Linked DNA regions of Rhinolophus ferrumequinum. The protein of the gene in region 1 interacts with the protein of each later gene in a biochemical or structural test. Links are inferred from orthologs where the notes say so. Each region holds a gene or a part of one and is shown in the gene's direction. Other genes may lie near its edges.

Region 1 (6,318 bases):
CCCCTTTTGTCCCCCCTCTCCCCAGGCACCGGCTGAGAGCCGTCACCCCAAAACCGGTGTCTTTGGGGTTAAATGGCACGAACTGGGTTCTCATTTCTCATGCTGGGTCCCTCCCTAAGCCTGAGGCCAAGCATTTTGTAAGTTACCGCTCTCTGTAAGTTACAGACCCGGGAGCCAGAGTACTAACTCGGGCCGGTAACTAACTGTCCCGAGCCCGAGGGCCTAACTGCATGTGCAAAGAAGGATCTCTGGCTTGTGCGCCCGGCTCCCAGACGGCTCTCGGCCACCTCCCCCCGCCCTCCGCCTGCCAGCTCCCCCCCGCACCCCCGACGTTGTCTACGTGTTCCGGCGGCAGGGCGCTCCTACAGCTTCGGGGGTTAGTTCTTCAAACCGCCATTTCATTACGCAAAGTCCCGTCTTAGGGCCACCCAAGAAATCTAAGACCTGTAGGCATTTTAAAAATCCTTAATTTGGCAGGGCAGCTACCTCGGGTTACGTTAGAGTGATCTTTGTGAATTCACTTAGAAACATCAATTTTGTAATGCCACCAAAAGTGCATTTGGTTCCCCCCCACACACACCCCATGTCCATCACCTAATAGAGTGGCAAAATCTCAGGTGATTCAAATCTACATCGGCTGTTTTGCCTCACTGAAAGCTGTACTCATTCGCGCTGCACTGTCAGGGGCAGTTAGTTACGACTCTGCCTAAACTCCATCACGACCTTTTACAGAAGAAATTGGCCAAACCTTGTTTGAACGAGGTCTTTCGGTGAATGTGAAGCATGCTGCAGTCTGAGAGGACCGGCGCAGCGCAGAGGCTGGAATTAGAAACCACTCCAAGGCCTTCGTTCAGTGCCTCAGTTCCCTTTCAAGTTCACGAAACTTTTTGTCAACAATTCAATCACGACACGTTTTATTTGTAAAAGTGCAAGGAACTTTCAGGACATTTTCTTAAGGATTTTTGATGCATCCTGTGGGGTTTTCAGTCAGTAAGACCGCAATAGAGGTGGGGAAAAGCTTCCTGAAATTATTGAACAAAGAACTAATCCGTGTGGGGTGGAGGGGTGGGAGGGGCATAGGGTATCGTCGAATAGCGGCGGGCGAGTCCCTATAAATACTGGGATGGCTGATTGTTTCTCATTAGTGTTGGAGAATTGGCTTTGCTTACCCATGGCTCGCACGAAGCAGACGGCGCGCAAGTCCACGGGCGGGAAGGCCCCGCGGAAGCAGCTGGCCACCAAGGCGGCCCGCAAGAGCGCGCCGGCCACCGGCGGCGTCAAGAAGCCGCACCGCTACCGGCCGGGCACGGTGGCGCTGCGCGAGATCCGGCGCTACCAGAAGTCCACGGAGCTGCTGATCCGCAAACTGCCCTTCCAGCGGCTGGTCCGCGAGATCGCGCAGGACTTCAAGACGGACCTGCGCTTCCAGAGCTCGGCCGTGATGGCGCTGCAGGAGGCGTGCGAGGCGTACCTGGTGGGGCTGTTCGAGGACACCAACCTGTGCGCCATCCACGCCAAGCGCGTCACCATCATGCCCAAGGACATCCAGCTCGCGCGCCGCATCCGCGGGGAGCGGGCGTAAGTCTCCTTCCTCAGTTAGCATCCCCTGCCCCCAAAGGCTCTTTTCAGAGCCCCTCAATTGTCAGCGAAAAAGAGCTGTTAATTCTGAAAAGTACACGGCATCCTTATATGAAGTGTGGTGTGTCCTTGGTGACTAAGTCACACCACTGCTGCCCACTTGTGCTCCACATCGGCCGTCTGCTTCTCCTGTGACCCTAACAACCGTCCCGCTTGCCGAGTCCCTCATACTCTGCAGTGAGGAGCTGTTTATGGAGAGGCATTACAATGACTCGGTCATTTGAAAATCCAAACAACTTCGACTGCAAGAAGTGATTGAAGGAAAACTGGCCCAAACCTTACAGAAGACTTAACTGGGTTATGCAAATGGGAATCAGTTAAATAGGTAGAATATTCCAGCGCCATTACTTCAGAAATAGGCCTCTTGATTTCTTGTAACACAAGTGTTGCCATGAGTGTTTAAAATCTTGACGGCTTTTTTGTTTTCCAATTTTAGTATACGTGCTGCAGAAGCGAGTGCACCTTTTCTGTTCCGATGTAATGTTTGCAAGTGTATGCTGTGGGCTTTCCATGTGTGACTGGGGAATGGGTGACGATGACCTGTAAGCTGTCATGTAAAATGAGTTCCCAATAGTTCTGAGACAATCTAGAAATACTTGTGCAAGTGTTTTTAAAATATATTTGTCTGTGATTGTTTTGTTTTGTTTTTTTCTATGGAGAATCAGACTAGGGATGAAATCCAGCATGCCGTTTTAAATCTTCCTTGTTTCCACACAATTCTGAGTTTTCTAACCAAACATGGCTGCGTCCCATATTTCCACTTGTTTAGTTTACTCTCGTGCTCTTCGTATTACATGACTGTCAGTGCCTCATTTTGCTGCTTACCTTTTTTGGGTATACACCCTAACTTTAGGAGGTAGCAGTTCTATGAGGGCAGTTTTTCTCCTGATCTCTGGCAGATCAGCCACCTGGGCCTTCCCTTCCTTCCCGTGTCTGGATTTGCCCTTCCAGAGAGAGGCTTATATCTAAACCATTGGCTCCTTGGAAAGCTTTTTGAAAAGTCTCAGAATTGATTCAGAAAAGTCTGATGAGGCCAAAAGCCTCTGATTACAAATCAGTCTGGAGCTCCTGTAGTGGCTCTCAGGTGTAGGGACAACTTGGTGCTGCTTATTCCAAGTTTCAAAGGTTGTTCTCTCCCCATCCCTTTGAGGACCTTCCCATCATACAGACCCAGGACCAGGAGGTCTACCTTCAAACATCTGCCGACAGTGAGCTCTATAACCTTTGGCAAGTCACGCATCTTGTCTCTAGGCCTTAGCTGACAGAGCTGTAAAGTGTGATGAATGAATGGAAATCTGTACAGCTTCCTGAGATTAGTTCCTGGCACTTTGTAAATGCTCAGTGTATATTACCTCTTATTGTTACACTTCCCTCTCCTGCACCTTTAAGCATGGAGGGATTCCCCCCGAATCTTCTAAATGTTTTGTGATTAAAACAATGAGAATTGATTGGTTAGAACACTTTCTTGTTAAAACCTTTTCTTTAGTTCTTGATTTGCATTGTTCTGAAAGAGGCAAGCTTGTGGCGATATGCCACGATCTGTGTCTATGTGGATGCATTCAAAACACAGCATAGGTGCCAGGTAGTAAATATTGTAGGTTTTGCCGGCCACGTATGATCTCTGTCACGGTCTTTTTCTAACACAATTTAAAAATCTAAAAACCACCTTTGAGTAAGGACCATACAAAAATAGGCCTCTGTCCAGTTTGGTCATAGTTGACTATAGTTTCAATTCCAGGAACTCCTAGAGAGAAGTGTGTTGGCTGCTTCACCAGTGTTTCACAGGGAAGAACTAAGTACCGTCAACTGCATTAGAGATCAAAATCATGATTTGATCTCCCTTAGCATCTAGGCCAGACACAAAATCCGATCAACCCCTTGCCCTACTTTCGTTCCAAATAAATAGCAAACTTCATCTTCCATTCCAACCTCAAGATCATTGCCTCAGTTCCCTTGAATGTTAATGTTTTCCTGTATTTTCCTGAATTCAGGAAATTCCCAGTGCACCGTTTTTATAGTAGCCAATTATTTTTCTAAAATATAGGTCTATTATCACTTAATAATTGATGTCTCCTGTCTGCTCAGCGAAGAGGGTGTTCCTGACTGTAATTTGTTAAATACTGACAGGGATTGAGGAGTTTGAAGGAAGACATTGGGAAAAGCAGGAAAACCTGACAAAGTCCCATGGGAGCTAAATAGATTGTGCTTTTGTGAGCTACTGGAAGCCCTTGAAAAATTTTTAACAGGTTTCAGAGGTTTTCTGACACATTATCTGGGCTAAGCATTTTTCATCCTTGTTTTAATAGATTTGCCTAGGAACTAAAGAGAGAACACATCTCAATCAAAACCATACAAATTAAAGTTTGAATTTGAATCCAGGTCGTTGGAAACTGAAGACAAAGCAATTGTTATTTCTCCTGCTGCAAGGTAGAAGTCACTCTGGCAACTGAACATTTCCAAGATGGAAACTACAGACACTGGCACTGAAACACCTAAGAAGCAGAACCGGTTTTTAAAGTCATGTCTGTGTGGCTGGTGTGGGGCTGTAGGCAAGCAGGCGCTCTGTGCGTGTGTTACTTGCTACAGTTAGAAACAAAGTTTATGCCCAAAAGAAGGAGCCTAGGGTCTTTCCTCCTGCAAAAATCAAAGACCAAACTTAGAGAGAAAGCCTTTTAACACACGTTGACTTGATACTTAGTAGACATTTGGTGCAAGATGCAACTAAGTAGCAGGATGCCCAAAGCCCGTGGATTCCTATGGAAAGCTGAAGGGATTTTTAAAAAATATCTTTCATCAGTTGCGCGTGATTCATGAAAACACAGACAAGTATGTGAACCTGGAAGCTGTTTTCCACCTTTGGAGCTTCAAAGCGTCAGATTCTGTACCGTTGATTTCGGAATTTAATCAGATGTTTGGGAGTAAGAAACACAATTTGGGAGTCCAACCGCGAAAGGCGGCCGCCTGAGGGCGGCGGATCCGACGCCCCACCAATCACAGCGCAGCCCCGGCTTATATAAGCCGTAGCCCGAGCCTGGCAGTACTGCGAACTCGCTCTTTGGATTTTGGGTCTCTTTCTCTGGTAGCTCCTCCCATCGCCATGTCGGAAACCGCTCCTGCTGAGACGGCCGCCCCGGCGCCTGTAGAGAAGGCGCCAACAAAGAAGAAGGCGACCAAGAAGGCAGCGGGCGGGGCCGCCAAGCGTAAGGCTTCGGGCCCCCCGGTGTCCGAGCTCATCACCAAGGCGGTGGCCGCCTCCAAGGAGCGCAGCGGCGTGTCGCTGGCCGCGCTCAAGAAGGCGCTGGCTGCCGCCGGCTACGACGTGGACAAGAACAACAGCCGCATCAAGCTGGGTCTCAAGACCCTGGTGAGCAAGGGCACCCTGGTGCAGACTAAGGGCACCGGCGCTTCGGGCTCCTTCAAGCTCAACAAGAAGGCGGCCTCCGGCGAGACGAAGCCGAAACCCAAGAGGGCTGGCGCCGCCAAACCCAGGAAGCCCGCAGGGTCCACTCCCAAAAAGCCCAAGAAGGCCGCGGGGACAAAGAAAGCCGTGAAGAAGACCCCCAAGAAAGTAAAGAAGCCTGCTACCGCCGGTGTCAAAAAGGTGGCCAAGAGCCCCAAGAAGGCCAAGGCTGCTGCGAAGCCTAAGAAGGCCGCCAAGAGCCCAGCCAAGCCCAAGGCGGTTAAGCCTAAAGCGGCCAAACCCAAAGCCGCCAAGCCCAAATCGGCAAAGCCCAAGGCCACCAAGGCCAAGAAGGCAGCTCCGAAAAAGAAGTAGGAAGCTGGTCTTTAAAAAGGCGACAAAACCCAAAGGCTCTTTTCAGAGCCACCCAGAGATCTCTGGAAACAGCTGTGCACTACAGACACCTACAGCAGACCTGGGGGTGTTGACTTGACCATTCACCAAGCAACCCACTACGATTGTAGTTGTTTCGCTTTTAGGTATCCTTGGTACTTAGACTGAAAGTGACAAGTAACCCAGTGTGACCACAGGGCTAAAGCCATAGATGGGTTATTGCCAGCCCCTTCTGTAAAAACTATCCGAAGATCTCATCTGTACTAATATTTTTTTAACTTTGAACACGTGCTTATTTACAAAGGAACATTTAAAAACCCCGCGCTACATTCTGATTTGTCAGTTTTCAGTTGATGGGTAGGAAGTTTAATGTGATATATTTTTGCGCCACCAAATTTAACTTAATGTTTTTTCACGTTTGCCACAAGGTCGTCAATGCACTTGATTGACCTCACTGAACTGATTGAGGAGTGGCTCCCGGATACTGAATCTGTCTGAAATAGCTACTTCCTGAAACCGCTTGCCAAGCTAAATTTCCAGTGCACACTGCTGATAGATAAATTAGGAAACTGGAGTCCCAGCTCTTCACTACAAACATACGGGCCTCTGAAGTCTCCATCTCCTCCCTATCTCGTTCTCTGTGGAGCACTCTCTACGGGGCGGCTAAGCGCTTCACTTTTAACGCTGGGCGTCGGCTGCACTAACCGTCTTAAATTACTTGTGACAAAGTATCTCAGTATCCATTTTAATTGGCCATATTAAGTGTTTAACTTGTAGTTTCAAAATGGATAGTTTCACCTCTATCGGATGTTTAACTACTGACACCTACCGACCAACTCTGCAGTAAGTCACTTTCAAACAACGGCCACGAGCGCTTTCAGTGAAAA
Region 2 (7,344 bases), on another chromosome or scaffold:
TGTGGTTTATTGGCAGTAGGATTTAATTAACAAAAAAAATTAACAAGCCGACCACATTAATAAATGGTTGCTGGAGTGAACAGGACATGAGCCTGTCCTCAAATATGGGAGTCATCCAGTCAATCAGACTCAGGTAGGTGATGTGGAAATTCCATATTTTCAATTAGAGATTGAAATAGAGATAAATGTAAAACACAGGAAATCCATTTTATGGAATCAACTGTGTCGTAGAACTGACGATACAATAATTGATTTGCACAGAGAAACTGGCATATACAGGACTATTAATTTAAAAGATATAACTAATAAATGACAGCTAACTTTAATGATGCAATGAATATATCAACATATGAGTCCTCAGATGAATTTTAGACCTCTGAAAGATTGTATAAAATCCAGGTTCTTGACTCCCTCTAATAAATTTTCAGTAAAGGTCTGGCAACTTAAAGCTTTTCAAAATGTTTAAACCATAATGGCTCCTTTATTCCACTGAAACTTATTTTTCCCTTGGGGCAGAATCTTGAGGCAGCTACTGCCAGAGATCTCAACCCTGCAGTCACAGGGATCTGATTTTAGTAGTGCACCTCTACTTGAGCACATTATTACGGACTGACTCATAGTAACTGAAGTCACCAGAACTGTCTTCCTCTCATCCACGCTCTTGGGAGGTTGACTTCTATATGAAATCGTTGCTGTGGAGTCTGTCCCAGAGCCAGGAGACAATCTTGAGGGGTATTTTTGGAAATCACAGTTTATTACTCTCCTTGGAAGGTACTAGATAAACACAGCTGAAAATTCTTGTGCTTTGGGCTCCCCCATTTCTAGGATACACTGTATATGGACTATCCCATCTGCCCTGTCAATTTTTTTTACTCTAATCATGTTTATTGTCAGATCTGGATACTGCTTCCAAATCTCCACAGCAACATATGTTATTCCGTATCTCTAGGCTCCAACTGCTCCGTTTATACATCTGTGTCTCCCACCCCTATGAAATAAACACTAATTATGCTGCACTCTAACTACCCGTTTTCCTGAAAATAAGACCTAGCCGGACAATCAGCTCGAATGCGTCTTTTGGAGCAAACATCAATGTAAGACCCGGTCTTATATTAATTTTGCTCTAAATGACGCATTCGAGCTGATTGTCCGGCTAGGTCTTATTTTCGGGGAAACACGGTATGTGTTTACCTTCTTCTTGCAGGGAACACAAAGCTCCTTGAAGGCAGGGATCATTTTTAATTTTAATCCCATCCCCAGCTACTGCCTGGTATAAGATGGATGTTCAAATAATATTAGTAAAATGAGTGAATGACTAGGAAACTTTGGCTACTTTCATGTATGTATTAAAACTATATTTGCTCAAAGAAAAGTCACTACAAATTTTAATGGAAACTTATTTCATCTGTTACGTACTAAGGGCTCCACTTTGCACCACCTGAGGGTATATGCTTCCTAACCCAGCAAACTTTCAGTTGCTTCTCAAACTGGACTTACTTGATCTGTTGGTCATCATTGTCCCTGGAGCTAAAATGTCACAAATCGCCCATCACCCTCAAAATCTGTTCCTCATCTTACCACATAGCTATGTTCTGAAATTAAACGTATAACTTAAAATGGCAGAACATGCCCCTGAACAGACAAAATATATCTCTAAGTAGACCGCTCTCTGTCCTTAAAAAAAAAATTGGCTCTTCTACTTTTTCATCTTTTTCAGCCCTATGATGAAAATCAACTTGATTTCACACAAATTAATGAAAACTGACATGTCTGAACAGGACGTTAATTACTAGCTACAATGAGCAAATGTAACAGAAGTAATAACATTTTCTGAAATGCCAGGTAATTGCTGGCAAACAGAAAAGATTGTCTTTGAATTGTAATTTGGAAGGAGGAGGAGTCAATTTTAATAGGATTATTGGATTTAAACAATCCGTAGTAAAGAATTCAGCTGTCATCCTTATTATGGAAATCAATCCTAAAGTCAACACTAGTGGAGCACATTCAAGCAGTAAATACTGACCAAGATTAGGCTAAGAAAGTTTTATTATGTAAGTTACACCAAATATTTTAGACATTAAAGATGTATTCATAATTATGTTGTTCACTTCTCAATATAATTTATACCAAATGCATAGTTTACATAAAACATGCAGACATTTAAAATCTACTTAACTGAGTTCTAATCCTGATTTTGTTATAATAGCAAAATTATAATTACGCGTTTCACTAAAATGCATAATTTATGAGAAAGTCCGTTCTATTCTGTCTCCTATTTTTCTTAATTATAAGACCAAGTTTTTTGTTTAATTTTTTAATAAAAATTTTGCATCTATTTGTCAGCTGAGTTTATTTTTATGCCATAAATCATTACTCAAACAAATGTTTAGTGATTTTTTTAAAGTCAAGAAAGCCATAAGTATTGCACAAGTTATACAAACATCTGAACTCATAAATACACACACATATAAAAATATATATAAATATTCATCTGAATTACTAATTTAAAATCTAACCAGAGGAATGTAATGATTCAATACTGAATTTTAAGGCAGCAGAGTAAAATCATAGGTCACATGTCATTTCCCTTTGCCAAATCTAACAAAGTGGATGGGGAGAGGTTAAAAATGATAACATATAATGGTAACAATAATATTTTATATGTATTAAGACTGAAGTAGGCTGCAGCTGTTTACAGGAGTTAGAGAAAGCAGTATGAAATAAGCCCAGGGCCCCACCTGGTTATTTTCTTTTATAAAGGCATTTTTCAAACTAAAGGCAGCAGAGAGACACTAGACACTTTAGTACTTGTCTGCTGGTCTTGACCAGATTTGAGTAAAGAACACCCAACTTCAAAGAGTTGCCCTGCAGGAGCCCAGCGCTACCCTTCCCCCACTGGAGCTTCAACCTCAGAAAAGAGGATCAAACCGACAGGCTCCAGGAACATACATTACACTGGCTCCTTTGTTTTGTTAGAAAAGTAGAGTGTGAGGTTTTCGGACATTTTTGTCCAGGAAACCAGGTCAAAAAGGACGCACAGAGAGGATCACGTGAGTGCAGGGAAATCTTGTCTCCGCCAAAGTAACCGGGACTCTTGGCAGGCCTTGCTCCCCCAGAGTCCTTGACGTAATGCACCACTGAAGCCTTCAGTGTCTCCAGAAATCACAACAATGTCGCCTGGTGATGGAAGGCTCCCGGAGAGACTTCCAAAAGCAGCGCGAAGCTGGAGGCCAGAAAGGCTCTTTTCCTCCACCAAATAGAGGCACCTTGCGAAGCGGAGCACTTGGTCCCTGTCTGCCTGCCTCTGACTCATCTGTTGCAGCAATCTAGATGTTACCCGAGTTCCCGGGTTGCCTTCATATTCAAAGGCATAGAAATCCAGGGGTGCAAGGGGATTGCTGCCTCCCAATGAATGAAAGTCGGTGATAAACGCAATTATTATAGTTTCATATTGAACAAGACCCGTTTCTGCACTCCTGCATCCAGCACTGATTTCCAACATGCTTCTCAACTTCCTACTAATATCTGACTCTATCAAATGCTTTCATCCTCACTTTCTGTAGAATATTTAAATTTACCTTAAATATTAAAATAATGCATACTCAACTCGATGGGTGAAAACATTAATAAAAAGCACTTAAGAGATGGGGGAGGGTAAGATTAATAATCATTTCCATTCAAAATAAGGAAGATTATAACCATTTCTTTAAGTGGCCATTTGAATGGCCTTTGAGGTGGGCTTTAGAGATTTAGAGACGGGTATTTAAAATTTTTTTTAAAAACAAAAGCAGTCACATTATATAAACTATATATATGTATACACACACATATTTAAAAAAACAGATTCTTTTACATGGCTTGCCAGTCACCTCAACAGGTGCTTGGTTTCAAGGACCCTCTCTCTCCTCCCTTCCCGCGTGGCTAGGGCCCCTTCCCCCATCTCTACCCTCAATATAAGGCTCCCCGTGCTTCCTACCTTTCCTTGCCATCCCCTCCCCAACTCTGGATTTACTTCCCCATGTGGGCAGGCAGCCTGCCCAGCCCCCGATTTGGAGCCTGACTGTTGCCCCCTTCAATGTCCCAGGCCCCATCGCTGCCACCCGCGTTCCTTCCTCTTCCTGGGCCACTATCTCCGCGTTCCTGGACCCGCTCCACGCCCTGGCTGCCGGAACCCGTCGGGGAAGACCTCTTGTGAGGATGGCAAGCACCGCATGCGACCATAAAACCCCAAATCTCCTCTCCCGCCCTGCCAGGACACGTGCACAAGACTCTCGGCCGGCGAGGCGCGACCTCTGGTGCGCAAAGACCCAAAATGACCGCAGGCACGCCGCCACCATGGATTAGGAGGCCGCGGCTGAAACGTGGGGCCAACTCGCCGCTTCTTGACCTGTCTCTAGGAGGAAGTGTAGGTGCGTGAACCGAGAAGGGGAGCGAGCCGCGGCGCCCTCCGGCGGGCGCTGTCGGGGTGCCGCGGCCTGCGCAGCCCCGAGGACCCCGCGTCGCTCTCCCGAGCCAAGGTTCTCAGGAGCGGGCGGCGGAAAAGACGTTAGCGGGTGGAGTGAGCGGCTGTTGGGAGAACCGATTCACAGAACCTGTCTCTTCCAAAGCCCGGGCCATAGCGGGGACTGACTTCCTCCCCGCCACGCCGGGGGCGCGGGCCACAAGGGGCGCAGTGCTGATGGTGACGGCCCGCCGAGCCCACCCGGACAGGACAGCGGAGGAGGAGTCAGGGGCCACCACCCGTTGGCCCCGCCCTTTCCTGAACGCCTAGGGGGTCGCAGCGCATCCGCCCGGAGCTTGTCGGGTGAGGGGGTCGCCATGGCGATGCGGCCCCCGGGCGCGTAGGCCAGCAGCGGTTGGCATGGAAGCGGCCCCCCGCGAGGCCCGGGAGCTCCGCTGATTGGCTGATTCAACAGACGCAGTGAGGGGGTGGGGAGTTTGAAAGTAATTAGCGCCGAGGGCTGGGGCGGTGGTCGCTGGGAGTCCAGCTGCCCGCTGGAATCTATCGACATCTCGGTCGCACTCCTGCCCCGCCCCCTCCGGGGGCCCCTCATCCCCAATCCTCGTGTGCACTTGCTAATTGTTGGAGACTTTTACAAAGATATAAGGCTGAGAAGAGCAAGGCCTGCTGTGAGGCCTTGTGTCTGGTGGAAGGAGAGCCGCGGAGGAGCACCCTGCTTTTCGCTTGGGAAGGGGACGTACTTCTCTGTGATGTATTCTCGGTCTTTTGTTTGCAGGCAGGGTGGGGATAAGCATCGCAGCGGGTAAAAACCAGAACTATTGTAGGTTTAGACGCCCAGGTAACATGGAGCTTAGTATCCCGGCTTGGAGGTTTGTCCGGCTGTCTCCTTCCAGCCCTCAAACAGGCCTTGGAAGAAATCCTTGACAGATCCAAATCACCGTTTTGGTTCAAAGCAGCTTTGATAGCTTGTGCTCGTGCACAAGTGGCTCGTGCCCTTTCAGCCCTAATAATTGCAGGGAAGATCAGATGTCTTAGTGTTCTCCCTCCTAGAAATCCGTGCCTCCTTGGAGCCCCTGGTGGAAGAGGTTGACTAACCGGCTTGTCTTTCTCCTTCCCTGACAGCAGCAGCCTGTGAAGACTGAGGCTATGCATCTCAGCAGCTCCAAGACTGGAGTAGTCCTGGCTCCAGTGTCCCGAGGTCCTGATACCTGTCAGATGATAACCAGAGCCCAGCTGGGTCAGGATCCCCCACAAAGAACAGTGTTAGGTGTGCTAACTGAGAATGGGCAATACAGGAGGACCTGTGGCCAGGTAACAACCAAGAAGCCCTGGAGAAGCTGCTTATTGAGAAAGGTTCTCCTGTCAGCATGGTGGGAGGTGGGTTTCTCTTGCAGTTTTACCTGCAAACCCCTTGAGTATTCCTGGACTACTGGGACATTACATTTTTTAAGGATCATCTTGTTGCGTCCCTTTTCCAGCTAGAAATAGTGAATACTTCTCCACTTCTCTTCTCCCGCCTCTCCACCCCCAATCGAGCAAATAGATCTAGGAATTGTTTGGATTAAGTATATGTAAAGTCATTTACATGCTGGGCTAAAAGCACATTTCCTCACATTTCCTTCTTGGGTTCCTCCAGGTCTGAGTGCTGTTCAGACTGATACTTGCGTGAAGCAATCCTGGATAATCTTTGCCACGTTCACTGGAGAGAGTTTAGAATCAGGACTGGATCAGGCTAGACTAGATGATTTCAAAAAGTGATTTGAAAGCAGCATTCTCCCCAATACTGACAGGGCAGTTGGGCAAACAGATAATGGGCCATCAGATATTGTTTAACTGACCCCTTAACAGATGGAAAACAAATTCACATTTAAATGCAGATGAGGGGTTTGGATCTTTAAGAATGGATTTTGAGGTAGAAAAAAAGCTTCCCCAAATCTGTTATTAGACAAGGTCCTCATAACAATGCTTTAAGCCTGGGTTGCACATTTGATGCTGGCAGTGAAGTAGGCAGGCTGGGTATCCTTTCCAAATTATAGGAGAGAAAATTTAAGAGGTTGAAGAAAGGAAAAAAAAAAAAGAAGGTATGGTGGAAGAGGCCAGATTAGAAACTCCTGAACTACTGACCTGACTGCTCAAGCCTTTTGGTGACATCTGATTAGTGGCAGAAAAATACCCAAAGTGATCTGTTTAAAGAGTTGGAAAAATTGAGGGAAGATACCATGTTTCCCGAAAATAAGACCTAGCTGGACAGTCCGCTCTAGTGCATTTTTTGGAGCAAAAATTAATGTAAGGCCCCATCTTATTTTACTATAAGACCCAGTATAACATAATAATATGTAATATAATATAATAATATAAATAATATAATAATACAATAACGGGTCTTATATTAAATTTTGCTCCAAAAGACGCATTAGAGCTGATTGTTCGGCTAGGTCTTATTTTTGAGGAAACACTAGTTTGAACAAAGCTACTTTGCCCAGCAATGTTTACATCTTTAAAGTTAAAAACCTGCTTCTTACAAATTGGCAATTATGTCTATGCTGACTGGTCTCACTTTAAATTCATAACCATTAGTTAACCTCATAACGTTGCCTGGCACTTCCTCTACATTTCCCTGCTCTATTCTTCTGCAACCTGAGAAATCTATTTTCAACTCTGCTTCTCTCTTTAATCCTCCAAAACTTCGACCTTCATCTTCACTCTCAGTTAATGGCTTTGTGTCCTATTTTCTTAAAAATATTCAAGCAACCAAAAGAGTTTCCATATGCTTCTATGTGCCAAATAACTCTGTCATCCCCATCCTGCTCCAGGACTCACATCCCTGCTCTTATTATGCAAGGTGAACCCCCACGTGTGCAGTACACTTTATGCTCTCTTGC

Evidence for each region. The genes of interacting proteins can lie anywhere in the genome.
Region 2: of the proteins of H1-5 (region 1) and CCNA1, one has a biochemical effect on the other in vitro, tested with the Homo sapiens proteins (2 studies listed by BioGRID). The link is inferred for Rhinolophus ferrumequinum from reciprocal best matches to the Homo sapiens genes H1-5 and CCNA1.

The regions. Positions count from the first base shown.
Region 1 is NC_046305.1:1,999,111-2,005,428, forward strand, and holds H1-5 (histone H1.5), read left to right. Parts: upstream 1-4,431; 5' UTR 4,432-4,735; coding exon 4,736-5,413; 3' UTR 5,414-5,793; downstream 5,794-6,318. Other genes in the region: uncharacterized protein LOC117014580, read left to right, coding at 26-154, 1,081-1,582. UniProt on the Homo sapiens protein: Histone H1 protein binds to linker DNA between nucleosomes forming the macromolecular structure known as the chromatin fiber. Histones H1 are necessary for the condensation of nucleosome chains into higher-order structured fibers.
Region 2 is NC_046287.1:93,158,502-93,165,845, reverse strand, and holds the start of CCNA1 (cyclin-A1), read left to right. Parts: upstream 1-4,272; 5' UTR 4,273-4,409; intron 4,410-4,513; exon of another isoform or gene 4,514-4,929; intron 4,930-4,969; exon of another isoform or gene 4,970-5,213; intron 5,214-5,584; exon of another isoform or gene 5,585-5,587; 5' UTR 5,588-5,608; coding exon 5,609-5,773; intron 5,774-7,344. UniProt on the Homo sapiens protein: May be involved in the control of the cell cycle at the G1/S (start) and G2/M (mitosis) transitions. May primarily function in the control of the germline meiotic cell cycle and additionally in the control of mitotic cell cycle in some somatic cells.